Linked DNA regions of Ovis aries. The protein of the gene in region 2 binds, or shares a complex with, the protein of the main gene of each other region. Links are inferred from orthologs where the notes say so. Each region holds a gene or a part of one and is shown on either strand. Other genes may lie near its edges.

Evidence for each region.
Region 1: RBM15B (region 2) and CBLL1 share a complex: the UniProt entries of both Homo sapiens proteins name them as parts of the WMM complex. The link is inferred for Ovis aries from reciprocal best matches to the Homo sapiens genes RBM15B and CBLL1.
Region 3: RBM15B (region 2) and ZC3H13 share a complex: the UniProt entries of both Homo sapiens proteins name them as parts of the WMM complex. The link is inferred for Ovis aries from reciprocal best matches to the Homo sapiens genes RBM15B and ZC3H13.
Region 4: RBM15B (region 2) and WTAP share a complex: the UniProt entries of both Homo sapiens proteins name them as parts of the WMM complex. The link is inferred for Ovis aries from reciprocal best matches to the Homo sapiens genes RBM15B and WTAP.
Region 5: RBM15B (region 2) and METTL14 share a complex: the UniProt entries of both Homo sapiens proteins name them as parts of the WMM complex. The link is inferred for Ovis aries from reciprocal best matches to the Homo sapiens genes RBM15B and METTL14.

What each region holds. Positions count from the first base shown.
Region 1 is NC_056057.1:50,283,972-50,289,623, reverse strand, and holds part of CBLL1 (E3 ubiquitin-protein ligase Hakai), read right to left. Parts: intron 5,489-5,652; coding exon 5,415-5,488; intron 2,833-5,414; coding exon 1,794-2,832; 3' UTR 1-1,793. UniProt on the Homo sapiens protein: E3 ubiquitin-protein ligase that mediates ubiquitination of several tyrosine-phosphorylated Src substrates, including CDH1, CTTN and DOK1. Targets CDH1 for endocytosis and degradation.
Region 2 is NC_056072.1:49,434,967-49,441,351, forward strand, and holds RBM15B (putative RNA-binding protein 15B), read right to left. Parts: upstream 3,727-6,385; 5' UTR 3,619-3,726; coding exon 934-3,618; 3' UTR 588-933; downstream 1-587. Other genes in the region: MANF (mesencephalic astrocyte-derived neurotrophic factor), read right to left, coding at 6,178-6,362. UniProt on the Homo sapiens protein: RNA-binding protein that acts as a key regulator of N6-methyladenosine (m6A) methylation of RNAs, thereby regulating different processes, such as alternative splicing of mRNAs and X chromosome inactivation mediated by Xist RNA.
Region 3 is NC_056063.1:16,422,797-16,428,498, forward strand, and holds part of ZC3H13 (zinc finger CCCH domain-containing protein 13), read right to left. Parts: intron 3,539-5,702; coding exon 3,435-3,538; intron 3,076-3,434; coding exon 1,897-3,075; intron 1,260-1,896; coding exon 747-1,259; intron 1-746. UniProt on the Homo sapiens protein: Associated component of the WMM complex, a complex that mediates N6-methyladenosine (m6A) methylation of RNAs, a modification that plays a role in the efficiency of mRNA splicing and RNA processing.
Region 4 is NC_056061.1:83,742,243-83,748,597, reverse strand, and holds the start of WTAP (pre-mRNA-splicing regulator WTAP), read right to left. Parts: upstream 3,587-6,355; 5' UTR 3,243-3,586; intron 3,118-3,242; exon of another isoform or gene 2,944-3,117; intron 1-2,943. UniProt on the Homo sapiens protein: Associated component of the WMM complex, a complex that mediates N6-methyladenosine (m6A) methylation of RNAs, a modification that plays a role in the efficiency of mRNA splicing and RNA processing.
Region 5 is NC_056059.1:7,055,475-7,061,733, forward strand, and holds the start of METTL14 (N6-adenosine-methyltransferase non-catalytic subunit), read right to left. Parts: upstream 3,734-6,259; 5' UTR 3,577-3,733; coding exon 3,511-3,576; exon of another isoform or gene 3,481-3,510; intron 1-3,480. UniProt on the Homo sapiens protein: The METTL3-METTL14 heterodimer forms a N6-methyltransferase complex that methylates adenosine residues at the N(6) position of some mRNAs and regulates the circadian clock, differentiation of embryonic stem cells and cortical neurogenesis.

The DNA.
Region 1 (5,652 bases), on a different chromosome or scaffold from region 2:
ACCGCATTAACACTGAACTCTCAAATTGCTAGGTGTGAAAAATCACGTACTTTCACTTAAAGAAAAAGTGTATTATTTTCAGCTGGTCATGGTTGAAAGGGCCATTTATATTATTTCAGCTCTAAATTTATAGATGACTTTGCATCAGATTATCCAAAGTGAGAAACTGCTTTGCCTGTTCCTGACAGAATTAAATGGTAAATTAGCCATCAGTTCACCTCTTGTCAAAAAGAAATGTTCTAAATTTATACACTACAAACTATTTAATAATAAATGGTATCTGTATACTACACATTTCATGTTTATGTTATGCACCATTTTAGGGGGGAGGAAGTACTTCACAGGGGTGTATTCAAAGGACATATAGTAATATCCTAAGAATGTTGATTTATACATATGAATTCTGTATAAACTGTAAGTGGTCATCTTAGCTGGACTGTAACAAGCCCCTAGAATGCAAAAGCTGACTCCGAAGGCACCTTATAATGCATTGAAATTCACAATTTAGACATTACTTTTCTCTTCAATAGAAAATCATCTGGTAGTCTTCACTGTTGACTCTATGCTAAAAAAATGTTCCAAGTTTTAGACTGCTTAACCAATGAAAGAAACAGGAAGTCAGTAATAGTTTTTAAATGTTAAGTTAGAGAAAAACACCTTATCATACAGTAATGAAACCTGAGCAACGCAAGTATGTGATTACAAGAACATCCTTCATTAATACAGTATTCAAATTCCTCCATGGCATTCAAATTATACTTTAAAACCCAATAAACAAGAATCCACTTAAGCACAGGATCAAATTCTACCATGAAATGAGGAATTACATAAAGCCTATTCAGCCCAAAATATTTAGTTTCAGACAATGAGCAGAGAGGAACACACTTCATCTAAAGAATACCACTTATACAGTTCTATAAAATGTTACTTAAGGTTAATAAGTGTGATGCATATGACTCCAACCATTCGGTAAAAAGCATTAATGAGTAACAGCATCCCCAACAGCTTGGAGCCTACAGAGTTGATTACTTTGGCCCTATCTTTCCAAAAATACAAGCAATGCCTCTTAACATTACAGACATAAATATTCTTAGTACTGGAATTTCAATGTATTTTGGTGCTCCTGAGGCTGCCTATAAATGAAAAGGCATCCAAGTGAAGTGCATTATATACCTAATATACCTCAAAATTTCAGTGCCTAAAATGTGAAATAATTTTCTACCATTTAACAGTCTGCCTTACAGTAAATTCTATTAGATTTTTACTTTTAGGATTTTATTGTAACTTTGGGAAATTAGTGGTAAAACATATGGTTTAAAAAACAGTATGTGGCTGCACTTAAGTTCACATAAAAATAGTATTTTTACAACCATATTGAAGTTTAATCCTTTTACACAGGTTAACAAAATGTATCACAAGAAAAACTTAAACATTGGGTTTAACAAAAGACGTACTTTTGAAAGTGGAACAATGGAAAAATGTTTTCAATTTTTTTTTTTTTTTTTTTTTTTTACAAATGGTCACCTCTGGGTCAATTTACCACACTAGGGGAACAAAGTTCTTAAAATATAGCTGTGCTCAACTGAGCCACTTAACTGCACTACAGTATAGTACTTGAAATCAATCCTAAGGTCAAGATTTAAAACCATTTTAAGAGACAAGACCCTAAGTGTTGTACAGCCACCTCAGCAAGAGGCGCTTTTCCTTCCCCGAACAGTCAAAGCTTAAAGAAAAGATTGACTATACATATAAGTTTTGTTTCCTCATCATATCATCAGTTCAGAATACTATTATCATTGGTAATACGGTCTATATCTTGTCTGATCTGGATGATGTGGTCCAGGTAGTGGGGTTTGAGAAGGCGGACCCTGCATTCGTGGAGGAGGAGGTGGCCCTCTCGGTGCAGGCCATATACCAGGACTCATTCCCCCTGGTTGTGTAAATGGAGGGCTCAGAGTTCCTTGATCTTCAGTGAACTGGGGTAAAGAGTTGGGATTGTAATGGTGAGGAGGGGGTGCAGTTACAGGTGGACCACCATGTTGAGGTGGGGGAGGTCCTGGAGGAGGATGATTCATATAAGGTGGCATCTGGGCAATAATATGTCCAGGGGGAGGGGTAATTGGTGGTGGAGCAGAGGTCATTGGTGGAGGTGGAGCTTGGCTGTACACCAAGTGAGGAGTACCTGCGGCCTGGGGAGGATGTGGCATTGGATGGCTTATTGGTGGTGGAGGAGGTGGGGGTGGTGCATAATGTTGCTGTGGAGGCATAATATGATGAGGGTGCGAGACCACTGGTTGACCCTGATATTCAGGATGATGGTGAGCAGGTGCGGGGGCAGGAGGTGGTGGTTCTCTAGCACCTGGATTTGAGTCATCCTGAATAGGGACAGTTATTAAATTGCTGTGTTTTCTTGTTGAAATACGAAAGGTTTCCTGACTGACTGAGCGAGGTGGAGGAGGAGCCATGGACAATTCAGCTGGAGGAGCACGGATATCCTCGTGTGGCTGATTATAGTGCTCGTGGGGCACATGTTGCAAAGGAGGTGGTGGCATCATGATGTGCTGCTTTGGCGGAATATGGCTCATATGGTGCTTGTCTGGCGGCATGATAAAACGATCGGGGATTTCAGCTGGTGGTGGGGCAATAGGAGGAGGATGAACATTTTCAAGTGAAGCCCGGGTAACAGGTTTTCCAGCTCTCATATGGCGGTGGTTGATATGAGCCTGTAAGTCTCTCTGAGACAAGTATGTTCTCTTGCACCCTTGAACAATGCTACACATGAAGAGAGAACCTCGTGTACACTGCTCAATTCGCTGCACAGGATCACTACAGCTAAATCAGAAGGGGAAAAAAGTTTGATTTACTAAAAACAGACTATAAAAATAATGCACTAAATTTCAAAGATATGACTAGTTTTAAATTTTATTATGGAAAACATTGCAAAAAGTTCACAATTAAAAGTTATAGTTTATGTAAGTGAACTTTTAATCTTTTCCACTTTGTGGTTTGTTTGCTATTAAGCATCAGCATTTCTGTCAACATCAAAATTCTTAAGAAAAAAATTTAAAGTGTTTATCAAACAGAGTAGGTTTGAAGCAAAACCCTTTTCTTACCAAGATTTAGAATTTATCTGATTTCACAAACAATTCTATGTTTTGAATCCGTGTGCAAAAAACCCCAAAACTCCAGGAAGGGCAAACCAAAGGATCTTGTCAGAATCACAAAATGCAAACCTGTAGAGTATTTATTGACCAGTAAGCAATTTTATGAGCAAATAATACTACGTAGAAGATACTAAGTGAAAGGTGTTGTAAGAACTACAAAAATAAACAGGATCATCCTAACGATCAAGGTTCTTAATATTAAACAATATTTCAAATTCAAACCATGAATGCCAAGAGTCCTTTCAAGGAGGGAGTCTTCCTGAATTGTCAGACAAATCTACTACTACAAAGTATTACACACTCCTACTTTTCTAAATTATAAACACTAAATTTAACTCAATTATTTTCTTAATAAGTCAGGGTCAAATTGTAACTATTCTTCATCTGCTGTTTTTTAATCCACTTTTGCCTTTAGAAGGCTTCTTGAAACAACAGAAAGAAGACTGAACTAGGAATTGGAACTGGGACCTAGTATTGGCTGAGATCTTGGAGAAGTCATTTAAACTTTGTTTCTTTATCTGTAAAATGGGTTATAACATCTAATCTAACTCATAATGCTTTTATATAGACTTCACCCTACTTAAAAGAACATTTGAAACATCAATGAAACAGTGAAAATGACAGGACTTAATGATTAGTTAAGCACTAAACACGTATAAGCTATCATCATTGAATATGTGGATCCGGTCATATGACCTGTATCAAATGGCTCCATATTCTTGATTTGGAGTGGTGGCTGGTGTTTCTTCCTCACTGTAGGCTGGTACTACTTCTTCATACTTAGGAGGCTTCCCTTTAGTGGCCATTTGGCACACTTCTCATTTTTTGCTTCTAATTTGCTATAAACTCTGAAATAGCTCCACAGTAACAGGATTGGGAGGTGGGGTGTATTTCTTTGGGTGAGGCTTAAGCATTAGTATATAATATTTACATTAATTAGGGTTGTCATTTCTTCACTTTCTGACCCAGGTCTGTTAATCCAGATAAGCTTTTGTTTTAATATCCCTAACAAGCCAACCAGTGATATGCTTACTGAAGTTACACTGAAAAACTTGAAAACTAAATTCCCTTTTAAATATTAACATCAAAACACTTACATAAAAGAGAAAACCTTCTGATGTCCTCTACATGGTGTTTTACAACATCCAAAATCCCTTATCTCAATGAGGCAATCAAATTTACTATAGAATTTAAGCGGATGTACACTGTGTTGGAAAATCAGGCACTACAGAAACTGAGGCAAATAGTGAATATGCACTATCAATTTCCTAATTCTTTTGAATTATAATTCTATTGAGAAAATATTCTTTAAACTCACACTATAAAATTTATAATATATGACTTTAAAGGGCTAATAAAATATGCTAAGAGAATTACTTCTTACTGGTTTGTTAATGAATCTTCATTCTCTCCCACAGATGCTAATCTTCCTACACCATAAAAGAAAACTATCCCTTACAACTGTCCACAATTTTATTATCAACTAATATTACAACCCTTGGGATAGGTTCTAACTTAGGTTATAAGTGACCTAGAAAGCCTACAGTTGTTCCCAAAGAAGTTTCTCTCAAGGTTTTTCTTAAGTCTTCTATCAGGGGTTCTGAATTGATATAAAAATTCATAGTTTATTCTGGATCCTTACTATTCCCAAAAAGATCACTATCGATCAACACCTCCCTATGGTCTTAATTTGTCTGAGCCTGTCTTAGAACATGAAGGTGTTGTAAGATGTACTCAAGACATAATCAGATTTGAAGTCAATAAATAAAGAGATTATACTTACATAGTACTTGCTATCTGCTACTCATTTACTTCTAATAATAACCCAGGGAGGTAAGTACTATTATTAGCTCCATTTTACAGATAAAGAAATCATGTATGTGACAAAATAAATCACAAAATAAAGATTTGAATCCAATAATTCTAATTCCAGAGTCTTTGCTCGAAATCACTACATGATACTACCTGTCTAGCATCCCATTAAAATAAGAAAGTATTTTTGGTTTATAATGCTAACTTTGTGATGTATTTATTATTGTTATTTTGGCCAATGTGAATTAACTGATAATAGCTAATTAGCCCTATCCTAAGGAGAAGGTTATAGCCAACTCTAGGTTCACAGAGAAACATTTGCCAGGTCTACACACTTGACATCTTGCCAACGGTCTATATCATATCCTCACCTTTAACCTAGATCATAAATCATTATATCACAATCCTTATTATTTAAAAATTTAATGATGATCTTACCCCGGACACATCTTATCTCCCTTTTTTTCATGTAAAATAGCACAGTCATAGCAAAACACATGCTTGCATGGAATCTGCAAACAGAGACATGTTACAGTTAATATTCTAGAGCAAATTAAAATATTTCAATAAAAAGCAACAGTGAGCGCAGTGACCTAGACATGGAAGGTACTTGAGAACTGTTGGTTAAAATGAACATATATTAAGTACTAGTTACATAAAAGCAACAGTTAACCTT
Region 2 (6,385 bases):
CTCCACTCCAACGTGGGACCACCGGTGCCCCTGGGAGTCCGAAGGAGCGTGGTCTCCACCTGGGTATCCGCAGGCTGCTGCGTTAAGGGGGGAAGGGAGGCTAACGAGGGGAGGAAGCTGGGCACATCCAGGCACCAAGACCCCAATATTGCACTGCTCCTCCCATGACTACCACACCACGACTGCGAAGGTCTAAGGTCTACCTGCTTTCAAAAACGCCTGCAAACTAGGTGCTTTCTTCAACCTGACGGACACACAGATTGTTCACGGCAGGAAACCAAAAAAGACACCACCACAGCGGCTAGCTAGACTTAGGCTTAACCCCTTCCTGTGCAGTGGGCTCTGGAGGCTGCATGGCAGGGTCTGAAATGAAACCCACTTGCTCTCAGACCAAATTAGAAACTCCTGTGAATGGAGCCCCGCCACAGCCCCAAGAGCTGGGGGCTGACAGGCACCAGTGCAGCAGGGCTGGGAGACACACCGGCAGTGGAAAGATGCCGGAAGGCACCTATCTGTGTGCAGGCAGCGGGGGACAGTCTTCCATCCTTCGAGAAAATCGTATGATTAAACCAGGACTCTGAACAGGATTAAAAATCCATCCTCTGACAAAGGCTTTACTGACAATTTTCCATACAGTTAGTCAAAAAATAAAAAAATACAGAACACAGCAGACAGTATTTCATACACTAGAAGCCGACACGACAGGAGTCCCTTCTCATCACGGTAAAAAAAAAAAAAAAAAAAAAAACCCAAACCTAAGAACTTAGTTTTTGGTGGGGAGATAGGACTTTGGTCCCCTACCAAATGAAATGGAGTAACCCAGCAGAGAATTCAAATCAAGGGTGTACGATGGGCCAGGGGGTGCAGGGCAGCCGCGTCAGACTTTAAAATAACTGCTTGAGTGACAGACAGGCCGGCGCAGCCAGGCTTGGGCTAGGCCGAGTCTCTCACTATGACTATCACCATATGCTCCTCCTCGAGCTTGCCCAGTGTCCTCAGCGCTGACTGGAGGTACTGCTGTGAGAAGTCACAGGGCGGGAAGGCGTAGAGCATGCCTGTGCTGTCTCTGCCCTTGGATCCACCCACTGGCAGGCTGATCACCCCTGCAGCCTGCTTCTGTTTCAAGTAGGAGACCAGGTTCCTGAGAAGCCGCCTCTGTAGGCCAGGCTCCACCGCAGGCATCCCCTCAGAGCCAGGCCCACTGGGGGTCGCCTGCGTGGCCAGGAGCACTGCGTAGCCATTGGGGCTCCCCTGCTTGATGCGCCGTGTGACCTCATCGAGCTTGGGTTGGTCCAGGCGAAGGCGCTGGGCAATCTTCAGCTGGGTCAGCTTACTCCCAGAAGTATGGTCTTTGAGGAGACTGCTGATCACCCCCTGGTCCCCCTCTAGGATGTGCATAGATGTCGGGAAGCAGCTGTTTTTCAACACCAGAAGCCCATTCCAACCCAGCTGCAGCGTCTGGGCATACTCTGAAAGATTCTTGAGCTTTTTGGTCTCGTGTTTTGGCTCTTCCAGAGGCCTGGGCTCGGCCTCAGTGGTCCGATGATTGCGCTCGCTCTCTCGGGTCTTCTTCCCGTGGGAAGAGTCGGGAGCCTCGTGGTGGTGGTGGTGGCTCCGCTCCTCCGCCCCGTGTCGGCTGTTGCTGAGGGAGTTGCTGCCGGACTCCTTGGTCCCTTCACTGGAATGGTTTTCCTTGCGGCTACGCTCCGGGGTGCGGTCGGAGCCTCGGTCCGCAGGCTGCCCACCACCCTTGGTCCTGCTCCGTTCCTCGTAAGGGGAGTGGGTGGCCCTTCCGCGATCACTGGAGAGGCTCCGGCGCTTCCGCCTGTCCTCCCAGGCCTTGGGCAGGCCCCGGTCCCCATCTCCCCAGCGCTCACCACTCCGGCTGCGCACTGAGCGGCTGTAGCCCTCGAGGCTGTTTCTGCGGTCAGAGCTTTTACTGGGGCTGGTCCAGTCCCCTTCCAAAAAGGTCCGCTCTCGATCTGAGTACAGGAGGTGCGGAGGGGTCCTGTCCCGTACCCGCAGGTCGGCATCCAGGTTCCGGTGCCGGGTATACCCGTCGGGGAGTAGCTCATAGTGCACAGGGAGCGGGGAGGGCTGGTACTGCTGGGGATACCGAGTCTCCTCTGCTTTGGCAAAATCCACGCGCAGCCTGCGGTCCGGACCCCCCAAGGGAAAGCCCCTCATTTTAGCACAGGCGGCCTGGGCTGCATCCAAGCTCTCGTACTGGATGTAGGCAAAGCTATCTCCCTTGACATGATCAATGGTCCGAATGCTCCCAAAACGGTCAAACTCCCGGGCCAGAGCCGCCAGTGAGGTGTTAGGTCCCAAGCCACCCACCCAGAGACGCGTAGTGGGGTTGGCCTTGCCGTACCCTATCTTAATGGGATTGCGGCCTATCACCCGACCCGACATGCCCACCTTGGCCCGGTGGGCCATGTCTAGGTTCTGGAACTTGAGGAAGGCATACGCACCGCCCTGCCCACGGGCGGGTCTCTTGATCACCACCTCCTCAATGATGCCGTACTTCTCGAAAGCCCGTCGCAGCTCCACCTCTGACACGCTGTGGTCCAAATTCCCAATGAAGAGGTTGCGCGTGGCCCGCTGGTCGTCCTCGGGCATCAGGTCCTCCTCGCACACGGCCGGGTAGCCGTAGGGTCGCCCGCGGTCGTCGTACAGCCCGTAGTAGTCCAAGGCCCGTTCCCGGGATAGGCCTACGGCGGCGGCGGCCGCGGCCGCATCTAGAGCAAAGGCTGCTGCAGCGTGGCGGGCGCGGGGTTCCCGCAGCGGAGGGGCGGCAACCGGGGACAGCGAACGCTGCTTGTACTGGTAGCCGCCGTGCAGCGGGAGGTAGCCGAGCGGGTCTGCGGGCGCGGGCGGGCCCGGGGGCGGAGTGGAGGCGGCGGCGCTGCTGCTGCTGCTTCGCCTGCTGCTCCCGCCGCCGCCGCCGCCGCCGCCTCGCAGGTACACGGGCTCCACCTTGAGCGGACGGTCGTAGAGCAGTAGCTGGCGGGCCAAGGCGTGCTGGCGGGCCTCACGCGCGTCCTGCGGGTGCCGGAAGTTCACGTAGGCCACGCGGCCCAGCTCAGGCGTGTGCGACAGGCGCAGGCTGATCTCGCCGAAGCGCTTGAACTGGTGGAAGAGCCGATCTTCGAGGTGCTCGGCAGGCAGCGCGGGGCTCAGGCTGCTGATGAGCAGCGTCTTGTACTCGGGTGCAGCCGCTGAGGAGCCGGGACCCGTGGGCTCGGCCCCGGGCGGCGGCGGAGGTGGCGGTAGTGGAGATGCGCGGGGCGACGCGCCCGAAGCGCCTGGGTCCCCTGAGGCCTTGCCGCCGCGTCCCCCGCCGCCGGCGCCCGAGCCCGAGGAGCGGCCGCTGCTCGCACGGTGATTCGCGTCCCCGGCGCCTCGGCCGTCGCGATGCCCACCGCCGCTGCCCCCGCTACCGCGAGGTTTGTCGCGGGCCCGCGTTGGAACGGGGTGCTTGGCGCCGCCCGAGGCCTTGTGCGCCGCCCGCCGCCCGCCCGCCTCCGCCTCCCGTTCGCGCTCCCGCGGCCGTTTGGCCGACGATGACGAGCCGCGCCCGCTCGGGCTGGAGTCTCGCTCGCTCTGCCTCTTCATGGCGCCGGCGCGGCTGGCGGGCGGGCGGCCCGCAGGCCCCTCACAGCGGCGGCGGCGGCGGCCGAGGAGGCAGCGCCCCCGGCGCCGCCATCTTGGACAAAAGGACTCGGCGCGGCGACGGGGCGGGGCGGGAGCTGCGCTGAGGGCCGGGGCGCCGCGTTATCAGGCTGCGCCGGCCGACCACGTGACCCTATGGAGGGCGGGGCGAGGGCAGCGCCGGGCGTGCGTCATCGGGCTGCGCCGCCCCGTACCACGTGACCCTGTGGCTAGCTGGCGAGAACGCCCGCACTGTGAGCTCTGGCGCCACCTTGTGGATGGCGTGGCCGAGGCCCGGGGCTCCACAGAAACTGGAGCTCTGGAGAGAGGCCTCACAGGCGTGGGTGTTCCAGGCCTTGAACTTTATAGTATACTCCCCCAATCCCAGGACTAAGTTTGGGTGACCACCTCTAAGCCCTTCCTTGGCATCTACTGACTGGGTCCGGCATTAACAACCTGAACCCACACCCCGTATCTCGAATATCCCTTGCATTCATGTTCACTCGTGGCAGCCGCCCGAAAGGCCTTGAGAACCATGGCTATGCACGACGGTGAGACCTGTTGGGTCCCTGGCTGGGCACAGAAATCCAAAACCTGTGGTTTCTAGGGTGGACTTCCCTGGTGGCTCAGACGGTAAAGCGTCTGTACAATGCGGGAGACCTGGGTTCGATCCCTGGGTCGGGAAGATCCGCTGGAGAAGGAAATGGCAATCCACTCCAGTGCTATTGCCTGCAAAATCCCACGACAGAGGAGCCTGATAGTCCATGGGGTCACAAAGAATCGGACACGACTGAGAGACTTCACTTTCTAGGGTGGGAACAGGGTCCGCTTGGGCATTCGAGTACACAGAGGGCTGTAAGGGCAGGGTCACGGAGCCAAGGGGGAAGAGAAGGCCGAACCCAGAGGCTACCGTTTGCCATGCTTACCTCTCCCTGGCCAGTGCTCTCGTATCCACCTCCATGGTGGTGACATGGAGAAATCCTGTTCAGGTGCCAAGCCCCCTCAGGGAAACTTTCATTTTCCATGGAGAGTTAACCAGAGGCTTCACAAGACCTGACCCAACTTAAAGCCACAGAAACCGAGGCGTGGGGAAGAGCGCATGCGCTTCTGCCCTCCCACGACCAGAAGCCTTTGCGAGGAGCGCCTGCAGCAGCTAACGCAGGTGCACTAGATTAACGTCTTACAAGAAACACCTGTTAACGTTCCAGGTCTCCTAGGCGGCTTCCAGGAGTTAACCCTTTTAAAGATAACATTGGGGATCACCCTCAGGTGGCAGCTGGGCTGTCCTCCCTGTTTGATGTAACCTGGAGGACACAGAGGCCACCAGAACTCAGCTGCTGGTTCTAGCCATGCAGTTTCTCAACACCTTTCAGGGGCTCAGAACACTTTGCTTGTCTGATCATAACAGCCCATCTAATTCCTCCAAATAGGGAACACTTGGCCTAACAAGTGCATTCTTACTTTTCTCAGATTTGAAAACTGTGGGCCTGCTGCTCACAGCCATTAGTGAACCCCACAGCCGGCTGAGGGCCCTTTACGTTGGCAAACTGAATTTAGGAACTGCACAAATGACGTGACCCGAGGTCAGAGCATGCACGCAGTTTCTTAGTCCTCCCCTTGTGGTGGTCTCTGAGGGCAGGAGGAGCAATCTGAGTCACAGTTCATGCTGGTCACTGGGTTTCCTGTGCACCAACCCCCAAAAGAGCAACTAAAAAACCAGACTCCAGGGACACCCTTTCAGGACTTCAACTGTTAGGCCTATCTTGGGTAAACAAAGGCAAAAGACAGCCTCTCACTGGCTCTTTGTAAAAACCAGCTCCTGCCAATCTTGCAAAATCCCAACTAGGTACCAGAAGCTTAGGGTTGACACTGGACCACAAACTGAGTTGAGCAAGCAGATGGCCAGATCTGGACAGTGGCTGATGGAGGTAGCCAGGCCGAGTATCTTCAGAATGTGATAGTACTGAACATACTCAGTTACTGAAGTCATCACTGCAGAAAACTGCATTAAACCCGTCTTGCTTGCAACCCAGCCCCCTCTCCAGATAGTCCCTGTGCCCTGGGGGTATCAAGCCCCACCTCCTCCCTGAGAACCTCTCCACTCTTGCACAGCCCGGCAGGCCCCATGTCCTGTCCTGGCATCCCAGCACTGCCTGGTGGTTGAGAGACAAATGTGAATATACCTGAAAACTCTTGTAAACCGGAAAGCATAAACCGGTGAAATCTTCATCATGGGTAAAACCCTATTTCAGTATTCACTTTAATTCTTCAAGGACAGCTAGAAATTTTCTTCCTTTAATAAAAAAATCCCAGACATACTTTGAAGTCCTAGAGTTAAATGGGCAACAGAACAAAGTGAATCTCCCCCAAGGGGACGCTGTACACCCAGCATCATCAGGAAAGCTCCAGGCTTCACACCTGACTTTGTCAGGAGCCTGCCTAAAAAATAAATTACAAAAAGGCTGTTTGGGGTAGACACAAATGAAGTATTTTCTCCCTCAGGAGCAGCAGGGGTCGAGCCGACTACAAATCAGTCCGTGAACTAGCTGCCTTGGGAGCATATTTAGGCATCAGTTCATTAATCTTCCGGATGTAGTCAGACTTTTCCGCACAGCCTTTGCACGTCTCCCCCCAGTCATCCAGGATCTTCTTTAGCTCTTTAACTCGGAGCTTCTTCAGGTCCACTGTGCTCAGGTCGATCTGTTTGTCTGGAGGAGAGAGCAGGGAGAAT
Region 3 (5,702 bases), on a different chromosome or scaffold from region 2:
GTGAAGATAAAGAAATAAAAACCTATGGTGCCTAACAAAGGAGTACAATATAATGGGGAGAGAACCATGGAAAAATAATTTACAATATGGTGCAGAGATGCTATTAAAGATGTATAAACAAGGTGCTTTGTCAATTTTAAAGAGCACCTTTAGCAGAGACGGTTTCACAGAGGAAATAATCTATAAACTGGGACTTGCTGTTTGAGTAAGAAAAGATAGAAGGGAAAAAGTCTGTCAGGCAATGGGAAGAGCAGGCTCAGAGAAGGCTTCAGGAGGGAGACCATCCAGAGAACAGAGGTGAGTCAGTTTGTACAGCAGGCTGGGGGTGAAGGATGGACAACAGAGGGCCGCAGTGGAGGCTGACTCTGACTGGGAAAAAGGGTGTACGTGGCCTTCTCAGAGTCCCTCATTCTACGAGCTGGTAGTCAGTTTTAATAAGGGACCTGAGCATCCACAGATTTTACTACCTGTGGCGGGCTCTGGAACTCATTCCTGCAGATACTGACAGACTGAAGGATGACTATAATTTTATCTCATTTAGGCTTATTAGAACCAAGTCTACCTTAAAAGTACTAACGAGTACAAGTTTTTTAAGTATCACAGGCCTTTTCCTTACAAAATCTATTTTCCCTAAAACAATGGAGTCAATCATCATATCAGATAACCCTTCAAAAGGAAGTACTGGTTTCCTATGAGATTTGAGACGAAACGGGGGAGAGAAACAGACGGAAAGGAGTGACACTCACCTTCCACACTCTCAGTCCTCTCAGCTCTACTTGCATCTTCAAATCCCTGCACAGATCCCAGATCTTTATCCAGCCTTTCTTTATCCAAAGCTCCAGAGTCTCGGGAGCCGCCTTCTAGGTCTCTGTCATGGTCACTCTCCAGTTTGACTTCACTGCGTTTTACAGACTCTACTTGAGAACCTTCAAACGTTCTGTCCCTGTCCCTCTCCCGGTCCCTTTCCAGGGCATCGGAGAGTAGTCTCTCCCTCTCCCTGTCCAAGTCTCTCCTTTTGTCCCGCTCCCTCTCTCGTTCCCGCAGTCGATCCCGTTCCCTATTCCGGGGCCAATCTTTATCGGCATCCCGCTCCCAGTCTCTCTGCCGGACGTCCCTCCTTTCCCGCTCTCTCTCGTGCTCATAACGGTCGCGCTCTTGAAGCCTCTCTCTGCTGTCAAACGACCCCGATCTTGAATGGACCTGTCGATCTGACTCAGGAGAACTTCTTCTGGAACTATGGCTTCTTGAATCCTGGCGATCTAAAATCAATGTACCATATACAAAGACTTAACACATGATAAATTAAAATTTACAATTTCTCTTTTTCGGTACTTATTTTAGATTATCCAAAGAACTCATCTTAAGGAAAAAATTCATCTCAAAGAAAAACATCCACCACTCTTCAGTAGTGTCAAATATGCAAAAAGCATGTTTGTTTCCTTATTTCCACTATAACCACAAAAGATCTTTAAAGAAATATGTAAAAATAAGTAAGCATTAACAGAACTGACCATTTCATTATGTACCTCCTCCTCTTCCCCCTACCTCATTTACACAGTCAACAGAGAAAAAGCACTGGTTGCAAGAAGCAGAACCAGGTTAAAATTTTTAGGCATCAATAGAGAACCTGAACATGTAAGTGCTTTCCACCAAGATATACTAAGATGCTGGTGTTAAACTGAGTGAGTGAATGTACCTCTACTCTACTGGTATTAATGTGATAATAGGTAACATCATGGTGGGATGGCTAAGCGTTTTAAGCTCCTTGAAAAAATTTAAGGCAGTGTATAAACAACTTATCATTTACTTTAAAATTATAATTTGAACAAAACATAAAAATGTACAAAATACACTCACATAAGAAACACTGGTTAGGTTACAATTTGTTTTTATTACCTGAGGAAGTACTTCGACTAGGTTCTCCACGCTTTAGCTGATCAATCCTGGATTTTCTCTCTCCTGTGATTTCCAGACTTTTAGTTTTTTCTCTGTCTCTTGAGCCGCTATGCAGCACTCTCTTTCGACCGTTCTGGTCATCCCCACTTCGATGAGCAGAGTCGTTGGATGGGGAGCGGAGACGGCCAGACGTGTGACTGCGATTGCTCCGGTTGCTGCCGAGGCTGCTGCTCCGCTTCTGATCCACTGGCTTGCGATGCGGTGCGTCTTCTATAGTAACATGAGGCGCCTCTACCTTTTCCGCTCGTGTTCTGTGGCACTTCCTATGGGAGTCTTCACTGGTAAAAGATGTATTGGTGGTGAGGAGGGCGGAGGTGGAGATGGTGGTGGTCGATGTGCTGAAGGCCGTGGCAGGGGTGGCCGCGGTAGCAGACAGAGGAGGCGGGGGAGGAGGGAGAGAAGACGGCGAAGGGGTCCTTCCAGGGGTGGCGGCAGTGGCGGCATGCTCTGGCTCCGTCAGATCCGTGCGGTCAGGCACGTCCTCATCAGACCAGTCACTGAACGCTGTATCCTCTTTCTTCTGAGGGTCCTCCAGAGCGCCATCCTTATCACTGGGCATGTCAGCCGGCTCCTCTTTGGCTGTGATAGGCGGAGTCCTCGGGCCTCTTTTCTTCTTACTCTGCTGCACCGTTTCTTCATCAGAGATGTCAGAATCACCTCTGGACCTCTTACGCTTCTTTTCAACACTTTTCTTCTTCTGTCCTTTTTTTGGTGAAAATACTTGAGCATCTTCAGACGCTATCTCTGTGTTACCCCTCCCCATTCCAACATCATCGTCTCTCTTTCTCTTAATAGGCTTCTTCTGAATCTTTGCTTTTCTTTTGCTCTCCTCATAAGCTCCATCAGAAGTGTCTCGATCTTCAGATGGGTGGTGTCCTGTCAGGTCTTGTGAACGAGTTCTGGAGCTCTCTGTTATTTCTGTCTGTTCTCTCTGCTTATCTACAGAAGAAACTTTCTCTTTGAAATCTTGCTCTTCATAGCGCCTTGAACTTTCTTTTCTTTCTGGTTTACGATCGTCTTCTCTCCATCTACCCTGCCTGTCTTCTGTAAGGTGTGATGGACTAAGAGAACGTGATTCTTGAGGTCGAACAACCTGGCTCAAGAGTCTGTGTTTTTCATCTAGACCAAAAGATAAAAGTCATCAAACTTTCATCATGTTAACAATACTGCATGTTACCTATAAGTAACAAACCAGTGTCTCCCTTTTCATTTTAAAAGTTTAAAAATAGCAATAATTTCAGTAAAAACCGAAGTACGGCTTTACTACAACTAGTGGGAAATGACAAGTGCCACTGTGGTAAAACGACTACATATTTCAAACACATAGTTGTTTTTAGTCACAATGTGATATATTCAGAAGCAGCAGAGCAAGTAAAAATTTTAAATCTTAATTCATCATTCCCTATTGATGTAAAAGAATTGTCTCATGGTTGCAAGTGAGTCTGACTCTAGAAACAGGGAACACAGATTCTGCTTACTTTTATCATCCCCACTGTTGTAGGCGTCACTGTCAGGAGAATGCTCTCGCCGGCGCTTAGGTGACTGACGAGGGCTAGGACTCCCTTCATTTCTATAGCGCTTCCTAAATCACACAAACGTAATTTGTAAGATTTCAGGGGATGAAAAAGATTTGTTTTTTTTTTTACTATTATTTCTTACTATAACTAGAATATATAATTGTAGGATAACAATACTATCAGAGCTATCTGTATCATACAAAGGGCATTTATTTAGCATCTTTAACAAAATTCTTCATTTGTTGAGACTTAACGATCGTGGACTAAAATACATGGCACCATCTCTGCTTTTTTCACCATACATGTAGAATTGCTCACTGACATTCACCAGGTTTAATTACTGTAAAGTGGTAACACAGCAGAGGATTCAACTCTACTAAAACTTATTCATCAGTTTTACTGTTTTATGATATAGAAATACCTTTTGTTGGAAAGCCAAATGAGAAAACCTAGTATTGGCTTTGGGGTCAAATAAGACTTGAGTTCAACTTTTCGTCATGTTATTTATTGTGCAATTTTAGATAAATTCCTTGAAGTCATTCTTAGCTTTTTCATCTGAATATAGATGAAAAATGGGGGTTCATCTCATAAAACTGCAGTGAGGAATAAATTTGTTATGTCATAAGCCCAGTGCCTGTCATGTTGTGGGCACACTGATAAAAACTGGTTCTAACTCACCTCTTAGAACTAAATCATCTACTTAATGACAAATTAATAAAATAATTCATATGTTCACTATTTTTTACTCTTTAAACTTTAGATGACTAGTATTCTGTATCTCTGGATACTTAAGTTATTCTAGTGTTTTCCTATATTTTCACTGAATTTTGACCACTTTTTTTTTTTTTTTAACAAATACTGTTTATAAATACTATGGCCAGAAGTTGAGTAACACTGTAGCACATGAGCACATGTACCTCCTTGATGGCCCATTTATACAGATGAGCAACCAGGTAGAAAATGAGGCCCCAGATGTAGTATGACACCTGACAGGCCCAAGCTTGTAACAATTCCTTATCTAAATCTCCTGCCATCATCAGGTAGTCTATTTCCCCATCCTTTGAATCTGGGCTAACCCAGTGACTTACTATGTTCGACAAGAGGATGTGGTGAAAATGACACTGTGTAAGTCTGGAGATTTAGGACTCAAGAGGCCTTTCAGCTTCTGCTTTTGCCTTCTTGGTATGTGTCTACTATCATATGCAAAAACAGAGTTTAGATTATTAGAGGAAAAGAGGTCAAGATGCCCTAAGCAACAACCAGCACCAATTGCCAGACATGTGAGGAAGCTGACCTGCTAGATTGACTGGAGAAACAGAGTGATCCTACGTGAGAATAGCAGAAGAGCCACTCTGCTGAGCTGAGTCAAACTGCCAACCCACAGAATCATGACCAAATAAATGGTGGTGGTTTTAAACTTCTACCATGACAATATACTGAGATGACAATAGATAAAAACATCAAGATATTTATCTCATATACTAAGTTACTTTATTGAGTAGCTGACTACTAAATTTCTGGGCCCCTTGTCAATGGTTGGAATATTTAACCATGACAAGCTCCAAGAAATACTGTACTTTGAGATCAGAAGCATGAAAAATATAATCAAAGCATAGGACTAAAAAATAAATAACAAATATTTCAGAATTTTAATCTTAGAAGATACAGAGTTAAAGAGGCCAGAGAAAAGAGAAAGAATACATATTTTGTGCCTACATGTGTTAAAGGTAATATCTGAATTTTATGTTTAATGTGAGATATTTTCTTTTAATGTGGAGTGAGGGAAGCCAGAGAGTGAACTATAGAAAACCACGGCTACAGACTGAAGGGAAGGCAAGACCTAACGGAAGAAGCCTCCATTTCTGTGGTATGTTGCTTGTCTATAACCAAAATCCATAACAGCAATGATGAAAATACCTAAAGCAGAGAATGTATTCACCATGAGGCAAATGAGCTAGAAGTAGGGGCAAAGAAACTGAAGCTATATAAATGATTTTCAGTTTGTCTTAACAAATTTAACCTTATCCTCTATTCTAGTTGGCATTAAAAGAAAAAAAAGAAAGGCCTTTAATTCCGATGTTCGGTTTTAGGTCTGTAAAACCTCAAAATTGACCAATCAGAGTCTGGGATTCTCATGGCTATAGTGACTGGCTTAGCTTTCTTGTTTACTCCTCAACTGAAGGCTATAACTGAGCTGACAGCTATAACCCTGGGGTCATCCTAGCCGTC
Region 4 (6,355 bases), on a different chromosome or scaffold from region 2:
CCCTTAGCAAGTTGAAAAAGACTGGCTAAAACATGGTTTTAAGTTTTATGTAAAGGTTTGTTATCCATGTGGATAACACAGTTAATACAGTTAAAGTGTAGAATGTCAAAAGTACCTTCTACTCTTGATGCCTTTACACTGAGAAATGACATTATGATGTTAAGTTCAGTTCTGGTTGGTTAGGTACCTAGCATCCCATATCCCAGGGCTTCCCAGCTTTTAGCATTATGATCCTAAGTCATGAAATCCTGTATCAGGAAGATCCACTGGAGAAGAGAGGGGCTACCCACTCCAGTATTCTTGGGCTTCCCTTGTAGCTCAGCTGGTAAAGAATCTGCCTGCAATGTGGAATACCTGACTTCAATCTGTAGGCTGGGAAGATCCCCTGGAGAAGGGAAAGGCTACCCATTCCAGTATTCTGGCCTGGAGAATTCCATGGTCTGTACAGTCCATGCGGCTGCAAAGAGTCGGACAGGACTAAGCGACTTTCACTAGATGGTGTGGGCTTCCAAGGTGGCGATAGTGGTAAAGAACCCGCCTGCCAATGCAGGTAGACAGAAGAGACACAGGTTCCATCCCTGGGTGGGGAAGATTCCCTGGAGGAGGGCATGGCAACCCACTCCAGTATTCTTGTCTGGAGAATCCCATGGACAGAGGAACCTGGCAGGCTGCAGTTCATAGGGTCGCAAGAAGTCAGACAAGACTGAAGCGACTTAGCACGTACCAGATGACACAACTTCAGTAACAAACCAGTACCTTGCTGAAACTAATCGTAACTAAATGCAAGAAACTAATAATCTGACACTGTACTAATCAAGGCACAACAGCAGAAAGGGTACTAGCTAGGAATTGGAAGACCAGCTTTTCTTAACTTCGTAATAATCAGTCATGTGATATTGAGCAAGTCATTTTCTTTAGATTGCAGCCTCTAAATCAGCAAAGAGGATGCCAATTTTGCCTGCCTCACCAAATGCTACAAATCTCAGTGCTTTAAGTACCATAAAGATGCTCTACAAACAAATATATTTCAAATAAAATACTAATATTAGCATAAGAGCACTTAGAAAAAATTAAATTCCACCAACTACATTTTCAAGACTTAGGACCGTTTCTTTATAGCATGGAGTTCTAGCCTGATGCACCACCTTTATATGTAATGGGATATAGTGTTAGAGGAATATTGAGAAGTTTTGTTCTAGTAAGCTTAGTACTAGAATATATTTAAGCCCCAGGTGGCTCATCTACCTGCAAAGCTGGAGACACGGGTTCAAGCCCTGGGTCAGGAAGATTCCCTGGAGAAGGAAATGGTAAGCCACTCCAGTATTCTTGCTTGGGAAACTCCATGGACAGAGAAGCCTGGTGGGTTACAGCCCACCGGGTAGCAGAAGAGTCAGACAGGACTTTTAGAGGCAGAATAATGGGAGATAATTAATAAAAACAAAAATAAAACCAAATACTGTTTAGGTCTTGTTTTGCTAAAGGATCCCACAGAAAATTTTTAAGAAAAATCTTTTTCAACAGCAAGATAATGTTCTATTGTATGAAAATGATCGAGACTCTAAAATAAACAATATTTCCAGGGGAACTGTGTATTACATATATACATACTTAGATGAACGTAAGGGACTCTGAGTGCTGTAACGGACTGGACAAATATAATTATTACAACTCTCCTCTCCATGCCACAAGGCTATGAATTTTCTGTATACCAACTCATTTCTGACAAATACTCAAAATTCAAACCGGTGAAGTTCTATAAGTTAGATGAGTTAAGTAAAAAAACTAGCTGTGCCTGGGATACACTTGATCATCATTACTTTTGTCAGTTGGGACTTAGAAATTTAGGTAGTTTGCCTAAGTTCTGCTACTGGGAAGTGAAAATACTGATCACTTAGCTATAGCTAACTACTGAAGATAATGTAAGATATGAAAGAACTGTAGGAATACAGCGAAACAAATCATTGAAATTTAACCTCATCTTTATCACACGCCGCATTTTCTTTCCCCAACTTGCCTAATCAGATGATACTAAATGACATATATAAAAAATAAATAAATAAATGACATATGTAAATGTGTAACAGGCATCGTGCAAAGATTTTCACAATACTTTTCTTTTTGAAGAAACTTGTGGTGACAGACCTGTGACTTCCACTTATCCTCCTTAGTGATGGAACCAAATTCTTAAGTAGAAAACTATATGAACTCAGGACCATAACATGCTCATGGAAATATTTTTCTACCTTTCTCTAATCTCGGCAAAAGAATCATTGCTTCCCTTATGAACACGGTTATTACGGATTTTAACCTAGTCCTTTGGGATCAAATATCCAACCTGACTTCATCAAAACAAACGTGGACATTTTTCCACTACGTGTTCCCCACTGACTAGAGAAATGCGGTTTAGAGAGATCCAAGGCGAGATTTTAAAATTTCACGAAAACCTTGAATTCAGTCAGTATTTATTTTAGTTAGAAGGCATGCACTCATTTAAAAATGGAAGCCTACAAGACAACGCAGCTGCAGTAGGAAGCTACTGCGCGACGTGAAATGTGCTTCACGGACGCGGCTTTCCTCCCCTCGGCTCGTCGGTGCCGCCGGTCCTCACGATCCTGCCGAGGGAGGTGGGGGAGCCCGCGACGCCGAGGGGGTGACGGGACGCGCGCTCCGAGGGGACGGCCTCCCGGCGTTGCCGGCCCCGCGGGAGCGCCCACCTCGCCCCCGGCTCCCTGAGAACCGAGGTAAAATGGCCTCGAGACGGCGGAAGTGTCGTCCCTGCCAGCGGGCAGACGGCGGGGCTAACGGGAGGCCGGGGGGCCCGGGAACCCCGAGTCCGCCTCCTGCGCTCAGTTGGCCCCTTCCGGGGCCGGGCGGCCGCACCTCAGCCGCCTGGGGACTCGGAGGTCCTCGCCTCCGCTGCAGCCGGCGGCGGCCCGCACCTACCTCTCCAAACGGAGGCCGCGCCGGCGCCCGCCCAGTCACATAGGCCGACCCCGCGCTGTCCTCTCGCCGCCCAGGCCGCCCGACCGCGCCGCCGCCGCCGGCCCCCGCGCTCCTCCTCCGCGCCGCAACCCCGGCGCTCCCCTTTATTTGCGGGTCTCGCTGCCACAAAATGGCGCTGAGGGAGGAAGCGAGGCCCCGACGCCCCACCCCCTTCCCGCTCCTCCCGCCGCCCCGCCCCGCGCCGCCGCTGGCGCCCGCCCGCTTCTCCGCCCCGCGGAGTTCGCGCCCGGCCCACTCACCGACGGGTAGTGCTTCCCGGACGCGGTCGCGGCTACCCGCCCGCTGGGCCCCGCCGCGAGGAGGAGAGGCTAAGGGAAGGCGCCTGCCGGGAGGCCTGCAGTCGCTCAGGGAGGAGCTGCGCCCGGCGGCACGCCCCGCGGCCGCTAGAGCCCTTGCAAGCTCGCCGGAGGGGAGGGGAGGGGGGCGGGGAGAAAAACCGGCCTCAGGGAAAGGCGAGCCGCGAGGTCGCAGGTCAGCCGCGGGGCATCACGGGAAGGGCGGCGGGGGTCGCGATTGGCGGCGCTGGGTGGACGCGCTCGCCGGGCCACCTGCGGCTGCGGCGCGGCCTCCGGCGGAGGAATCTGGACGAAGGCAGTGACTGATTGGCTGCCCTTTGGTGCAGCGCCCAGCGATGATGCTTCCGCGTGCTGGCGGGCCAGGTGCAAGTCTCCTGAGGACGGCTTTAGGCAGCGAATGCGGTCAGTCTAGATGTCGCGAACCGTCGCTGCTCTAGGTTTTGATACTTTAGAAACCGATGCCCTCTCTTCATCCTGGAAGTGGACGCTTGGTTCGACTGCTCCTTGAAATCTCGAGGCGAAACCTGGGAGCTATTGTCTGGGAGGTGGAGATTGTACTTCTGTCTGCTGCTCTGGGGGCACCTTGCTAACTCAACCTCCTGAGTTCTTTTTGTCTTGTTTCGTTTGTTTCAGAAAGTATCTTGCCATGAGTGGCGAGCAATAATAAACAATTTTTCTTAACATGACTTATGTTCCATGGCTTACTCTACCCTCTGCTGCTGCTGCTGCTGCGGGTAAGTCGCTTCAGTCGTGTCCGACTCTGTGCGACCCCATAGACAACAGCCCACCAGGCTCTGGGATTCTCCAGGCAAGAACACTGGAGTGGGTTGCCGTTTCCTTCTCCAATGCATGAAAGTGAAAAGTGAAAGTGAAGTCGCTCAGTCGTGTCCGACTCTTAGTGACGTTATGGACTGCAGCCTACCAGGCTCCTCCGTCCATGGGATTTTCCAGGCTAGAATACTGGAATGGGGTACCATTGCCTTCTCCTCTCCCTCACTGCAAGAGACTGCAAAGTCCACTTCATTCCAGGCCTAGCAACAGGCTCACTGTCTGAAACGTTAAGGTATTATCTATATCAGGGCACGGTGGGGGCTCCTTTTGGTCCAGAGACGCTGCATTTAAGTCACCGGCCTCCCTGTCATCATACAGGATAGTTGAGTAAGAGATGAGAGACAATAAATAGCCCCTAAAGAACCCTCTAATACAAATTTTAATTCAGATACCCTCCCTTACACGATCAACTGGTCTATCACAGAACCATGGTGTTGTCTGGTGGATGTTAGACTCTTAAACTTACTGGAGGAGTCAGATAGTCTTTGCATTGGGCTCCCCTTATCCAGCTTCACCAAAACCGTTTATCCCCAAAGGAGGTGTTCTGGAATGAGGTGATTTATAAGGATAAAAGTACAGTATACGCTTAGATGCTTTTGAATTGTGCTGGAGAAGTCTCTTAAGAGTCCCTTAGACAATAAGGAGATCAAACCAGTCAATCCTACAAGGAATCAACCAAATGGTCACAGGAAGGACTGATAACTGAAGCTCCAGTATTTTGGCCACCTGATGCAAAGAACCGACTCTTTGGAAAAGACCCTGTGGCTGGGAACGATTGAGGGCAGGAGGAGAAGGTGACAACAGAGGATGAGACAGTTGGATGGTATCACTGACTCAATGGACAAGAGTTTGAGCAAACTCTGAGAGATAGTGAAAGGATAGGGAAGCCTGGCGTGCTGCCGTCCATGGGGTTGCTAAGAGTAGGACACGATTTAGCAACTGAAAGACAACAAAGTATACTCTAGGTGGTCAAAGACCAAAATTTGAAGGGAAAAATGGACAAAGACATGAGTAGACATTTCCTGCAGAAGAACAGCAATGACTGGTAAACAGGAAAGAACTGTTCATGCTCACTTATAATGGAAATGCCCACTGAAATGACAAGACTGTGGAGAAACAGTGCTTATGCGTTTTCTGGTGGGAATGGGAAAATGATTCAAGCCCTATGGAGTGCCAAAATTATGTATGCACTTATTCTTAGGTCTTGCAGTTTCAAGTCTAACCCTAACCTTACTCTGAAAAGACAACTTCACATACAGAAAGAACATGTGGGCAAGGTTACTTGTGACAGTGTCATCACAAAAGTTTGGAAATAAATGTCCATTAATAGGGAACTGGTTAGACATGATACATCCATATCATGGAATACAATGCCGCCAGAAAAACAGAATGAGGGTGATATCTGTTACCTTGAAATACGTGCCAGGCTATTTGGAAAATTGGAAGCTTGTCCCATAAACATTAAAAAGAACCCAAAGTTGATAGCACATTAAAATAAGCTTAACTCTAAGTCATATTGATAACGTAACTATGTTGTTACATGGAGAAAAGAACTGCACAGGTCTTCTGGACACAGTACTTTAAGAGAATTATCTGCGGTGGGATGGCTTAGGATAAGAAAAAAAACTGCAAAGGAATCTTCAGTTTCAATCAGATGTTTATAATTAACGGTAATATTGTTTCTGTGGTTTTGAAACTACGTATATTGGATAATACAAATATTTTAATGTTCTCATGTATAAGACTTTGTAAGAGAAAATGAGATACAAATATAAGATCAAAGAAGTTCGGAAAAAACCTGTAAGGGTCTTCCCTGGTGGCTCAGTGGTAATGAATCTACCTACAATGCAGGAGACTCATCCACCTACAATGCAGGAGACCCACCTGCCTACAATGCAGGAGACTCAGGTTCGATCCCTGGGTTGGGAAGATCCCCTGGAGAAGGGAATGGTCAGCCCACTCCAGTTTTCTGGCCTGGAGAATCCCACTGACCGAGGAGCCTGACAGATTACAGTCCATGGGCTCGCAAAGAATTGGACACGACTTAGTGACTAAACACACTAAACACACAACACATATATTTAAATTGGATATATCAACTTGAGCACATGATTTAAAAAATAGATTTACTACTTTTGTGCCCCCAAAGGGCCTAGGAGCACTGGTCCATGACCAACTGTCCCAGTTTCCCAGAGACTGAGGGGATTTGCCAGGATGTTGCACTT
Region 5 (6,259 bases), on a different chromosome or scaffold from region 2:
AGCACAAGAAAAGCATGAGGAAGTCTGCATTATATAGCCCCTTGAGCTCAAAAAAGGAAAGAAAGCATACTAGAGCCCAGCCTTTATTAAACAATTTTTATTACACAATTACATTAATTCCCACTGCCTCTTTACACTATTCCATGACTCCCCTAAGGTTTTTCCAATGATAAATCTCTTCCAATATGTTAACTGTTCCTGATATTTTAACTCTTCCATAAAATTTTCCTGACCCCTACTCTGTTTCATTGGAAACCATATCTACTTTCTGTAAGGGGAAATGCCTTTTAACCTTCTTCCCATGAAAGTGACTGACTCCACTCCCTTCAGTTCTCAGATAAATACACGTCACTTTCTCAGAGAGTTCTTCCATGAACACTAGAGAGAACAGGTAGTCTCCTTGCATTTTTCTCTTACCTCCTCATTTTCTCATTCAGATCATAGTTCTCATTCAGATCAAAATACAAACTAATTTTGTTTTACTTTTGTTTATTCCCTATTTATATTATTTTATACTTTATATTTGTACACATCAATTATTTTATGTTTACTTTTGTCTACTTCTTCCCCCACTGAATTGTTAGCTCACCGAGGAAGAACTCTATCCTGTTGATATCTAATGTTCAGGAGCTATTATAAAGTCTTACTTATACTAGATGCTCAATAAATATGTGAATAAACCAATGAGATTTCTTGCCAGGGCCTAAATTAGAATACGATGTTTTATAAGACAACGTTTTAAATCAAATTGTGCTTACATACATAATCGTCTTCTTGTATTCCAACTTTTTTTAAATTGTGGAATGACTGGAGTAATTAAACAGACTTTTTCCATTGTGGGTGTGTATATGTGTGCGCTCAGTCGTGTCCAATTCTTTGTGATTCCCCCTTGACTGTAGCTCACCAGGCTACTCTGTCCATGGAATCTTCCAAGCAAGAATACTGGAGTGGGTTGCCATTTCCGCTGTGGTAGCACTAAATATGTTATTTGAATAATTATGACAATTTGGTATCCTCTGAAAGTATACTACTTTTAAAAACAAAGCTACAAGTTAAAGAGCAGGTGTAAATTACTGGCAGCAGCATCAATGGCCACAATCATAGTGTGTGCCTATACACTGCCCGGTGGCTCAGACGGTAAAGCGTCTGCCTGTAATGTGGGAGACCTGGGTTCGATTCCTGGGTCGGGAAGATCCCCTGGAGAAGGAAATGGCAATCTACTCCAACACTCTTGCCTGGAAAATCCCATGGACGGAGGAGCCTGATAGGCTACAGTCCATGGGGTCGCAGAGTCAGACACGACTGAGCGACTTTACTTACACACTGCATCTGATATCTTCATCCAGCAGCCAAAAGCAAATCAAGTAAATTACATACGCTGAGTTGTGCTCTACTTTGAAGTTCACGAATCAACAAAAACTTATTAAAAACTAACTTTGGGTAAGAAACAAAGTTAGGGTAGAAGATTAACCCAACTGGAATTGTCTGTACGAGTTAGTGATGTACAGCAGTGGCCTCAACATTCAGTCAGGACAATGGATGCACAGAGCGAGAAAAGCCTAAACCAGGGAGTTCCAGACCAAGTTTCATCACAAAGTTCTGCCCTGGGCTGTGCCATAAAGGATAGACAGAAATCAGAAAGAAAGGATGCTTCTTAAAAATTACAATGTCTATATTACACAAACAACTTTCTGGAGAGCAACCAGTCTGTCTTGTTCACATAGTCAGTGAAAAAAAGGCTTCTGGTAAAGTGGAAGTCTACTATTGACTATACTGGCCATCCTCACCCAGGTGGAATGGTATCTAACCAGTTATTCCAAGAGGGAACCAGGTGTATTGGCAAGAGCACAGAAAGGCCTAAGACCGAAGCTGGCAAACTTAAGTTTTGTCACCTTCAGCATGTAAGGTAAATTCTTTGAGCTTTATTTTCTTCACCTATAAGATCCAGATAGCATCTGACTTGTATGATAAAATAACATACGTAAAAATTTGTCAAGTCCCTTGACACATAAAATGGACTTAATAAATGGCAGCCATTATTAAATGCTGTACACTATTTAAGTTCTCTAAAGGTAGGATAACCTATCATTCATAGCGGACTTACCAACATCTGCAAGAGTTCCTGGTACATAGTAAGACATTGAAGAAATAATTTTTTATGTATGTATTTTGAGTCAAATATCGGTCTGAATTCAAAACTTAAGTGTCAAAATCTTACTTGGTTTTAATAAAGAGTCACTGAACATTTTCAAACATAACATGATAAAAGCAATTGGGATAAAGAAGGCTTGAAAAAGATACCTGATTTGTCAAAAAAATCATAATGTCAGAGGCACAGGAACAGACCTAATTCCAAACACCCACTTTTTTTTTTCGTTTTGGCTTACACCACGGGGCTTAAGGGATCTTAGTTCCCAGACCAGGGACTGAACCCACGCCACAGCCATGAAATCGCAGAGTCCTAACCAGTGGACCAACAGAGAAGTTCCCCAAGCACCGACATTTTAAACACTATACCATAAATCTTTTCATCATGTCATAAAAGAAGCTATATCTTTGATTTTCATTTACTAAAACCAAGATTCATTACAGAAAAAAAAATAACTATTTCTGAATAACTATTAAGATCCCTCATTAAAGCTTATGAGCATTTCCCCCATCACTGTTACTGATCCGAGGGGCAGAAAGGAAAAGACAGCCTCTGACTTTAAGCAAAGGTGGCATCTGCATTTTCTGCATATGCACTCTACTAATCAGCACGTGTCAATTTACACGCCAGCCGCGGTGAAGACAAGCTTTGGAGAGACAAACCAGGGTTCAACTTACTGGCCCAGCGGTTAACGACTCGAGGGAAAAATTCGTTAGCCACCGGCGCCCGTGTCTCATTACGTGACGATAACGCTACCTCTTTGAGAGATCTGTTGTGACTGAGGAAAGAATTCAAACATTTAGCTGTGGGTAATGACGAGGATACCGTATACAACACAGTCGACTGCAACACCCACGATGCAGAACCTAAAATTTACACTCCGGCTACTGCCAACGCGGTCTTTGGATATTATCCCAGGAAAAAACACTGTAAACCTATTTCACAATGAAGCCACAGTCTCATGAATCAGGCGCTGATACGAGAAAAGGCAAGACACAAAAGACTATTTAAACAGTGAAGAGAAATTGAGGGGCTAACGACTCCCCTTTCCTCGCGTGAACTGCGATAACTTACACACAAACACCAAAGTTTTGTATCCTCATCACTGAGGATGCCAGACCCCTGGCGGGCATTCCACACAGGATGCTGAAGACCAGGCGTGGCGGTCGGCTTAGCACCACCGCAAGGACCACAACATGAAAGGGGAACGATTCGGGGTAGAGAGGGTAGAGAGGTCCTGGGATTAAAGTCGCAAGACCAGGAAGGGCTGCCGGGTGGCAGGCGAGGAGACGGAAAAACGGGGAGAAAGGGACGGGGAACGCGGCGCACGCGCATTCGCGACCCCTCCCTGGGCCGCGGACCTGCTGCGCGAGAAGCTGTCGACGTAACTTCTGCCGCTCCCGGATCTCCTGCAAGCGGCTGTCCATATCCCGACTTGTTTTCCACTACCTCGAAAACTTGGCAATTAGCGGATGAACCCTTGCGCCAATTTCTCTTCGGAATCTGTGGATCACAAAATTTTCCAGCCGCTTCAGGAGGCGGGTACCCAATACCCTCTCCTCAGTAGGTGTTTCCGGCGCGGCCGGAATTTTGCGCCACGGACCACGGAAGTCCCGCCTCCCCATGGACGCCCGCGATTTGACGCCGTTTAGCAGAGGCCCAATGAGTGTCCTGCGGCGCCCGGGGCGTCACGGAAGGTAACCGCCCTGCAGAGAGCGCGGGCTGTCACAGTGGTGCGGGCAGGTGGCCTGGCTTCTCACTGCCCTCTCCTGGGACTGCAGGCTTCCTAGGTCTTATAGCACTGTTTCCGAGTTGTGGGCCGTATTGTCGATTCCCTTTTCCAGTAATTCCCCAGTGGCCAGTGCTGGCGTTTTAAAAATTGCTGGATACCAGGTTTTTTGCTAAAAGCACAGACTCGAGTCCGATTGCCAGGTTTAAACTTAGGACTGTCCTTTACTAGCTGAATGGCCTTGGCTAGTTAATCACCCTCTGTGTGCCTCTAGTTTTCTCATTTGTACAATGGGAGTGATAAGAGGGCCTACTTTACAGAGCTGAAGATTGAAAGAATAAGCAGAGCTAAAAGCATACCACCATGAAGGTGTTTATTGAGATTTTTATTATTACTTATATTTCCCTTTAGGCAGGGAACAGCAGTGCAGGAGACATAAGAGACACGGGTTCGATCCTTGGGTCAGGAAGATCCCCTGGAGGAGGGCACGGCAACCCACTCCAGTTTTCTTGTCTGGAGAACCCCAGGGACAGAGAAACCTGACAGGCTACAGTCCATAGGGTCGCAGAGTTGGACAGGACTGAGTGACTAACACTTTCACCTTGACATTTTTGTCCTCTGTTACAGTTCAGTTTAGTTGCTCAGTCGTGTCCAACTCTTTGGGACCCCAAGAACCGTAGTTCGCCAGGCCTCCCTGTTCATCACCAACTCCTGGAGTCCACCCAAACCCGTGTCCATCAAGTCGGTGATGCCATCCAACCATCTCATCCTCTGTCGTCCCCTTCTCCTCCTCCCCTTAATCTTTCCCAGCATCAGGGTCTTTTCAAGTGAGTCAGCTCTTTGCATCAGGTGGCCGAAAGTATTGGAGTTTCAGCTTCAACATCAGTCCTTCCAATGAACACCCAGGACTGATCTCCTTTAGGATGGACTGGTTGGATCTCCTTGCAGTCCAAGGGACTCTCAAGAGTCTTCTCCAACACCACAGTGCAAAAGCATCAATTCTTCGGGGCTCAGCTTTCTTTATAGTCCAACTCTCCCATCCATAGGAAAAACCATAGCCTTGACTAGACGGACCTTTGGGGGCAAAGTAATGTCTCTGCTTTTTAATATGCTATCTAGGTTGGTCATAACTTTCCTTCCAAGGAGTACATGTCTTTTAATTTCATGGCTACAATCACCATCTGCAGTGATTTTGAAGCCCAGAAAAATCAGTTAATCACTAAAGGGATGCTGTCTATACACTTAAATTATACATAAACGGCCTATCTCTGGGAACCCTGCTTTCCAGGGAATGCGCATTAAGCTAAAATCTTTCTCATAGGAAACATCCGGAGCAGACCCACCTGTGAATCACTGCCAGGAGAAAGAGATTAACACATCCCTCTCCAGAGGCTGATAGGAAACAGAAAGCGTTTGACTTTACTCCCTCCACTTTTACTATAAAAAAAAGCCTAAATTCTAACTCAGGCAAGATGGTTCTTTGAGGCGTGAGCCCACTCTCTTCTTGCTTAACTGATTTTCCAAAGGAAGTCATTATTCCTTGTCCCAGCTACTTGCCTGTTGATTACTGGCCTTTTGTGCAGCAAGCAGTATGAGCTTAGACTTGAACAGATGGGTCAAAGGAAAACAAGTCTTGGTTGTATTCTAGAGGTCAGATGCCAGGGGACCCCTTTTTTGTGCTTGTGCATTTGTCTTAGCTGGAAATAACCCTGAGATATAAAAACATAGTCTACTGAGATAACATGCTTGTAGAAGGGGGCTCAGTAATGATTCTCCCCTCTTTATAGAAGGCAGCAAAGACGAAGTCTTAAGTTATTACAGCTATGCACCATATTATCATCTTATTCCAAATTCAAAGTACTAGCAGAAGTAGGCTAAGAAAGTCATGTAGCTCCATGTTTAGTTGGAAATTGTGGCAAGTACTTAGTAACATTAGTAACAAGTCTATATTCTTCAAGAGGGGATTTACTTTTTGAAAATAGTATTAAACCCTACAGATCAAAAGCAAGTGGTCCAGGCTAGGCCAAAAGGGCTAAACTCAGTAACAGGTGGGTCATCGTAAAACATGTCTTGGTTCATGTTCTAGAGGTCAGATGCTAGGGATCGCCTTTTTGTGTATGTCCATTTGTCTTGGCTGGAAATAACCAGTACTAGACTCTACCAATCGTCATGAATTTCTCAATAAGTAGTTCTGAAAGGCAGTTTCAAAAAAGGAGTCCTAAAAATCCTTTGAGTAGTGGCAGCACTACTTGAAAAAGTATGCTGACTTCCAAGGGCCCTATACTGTAAAAGACAATACACTTGCCAGTCACATGAGTACTGATTTGAACTTTTATTGATCTAAATAAATGATGTAAATAGACATTTTGTTCACTCAAATA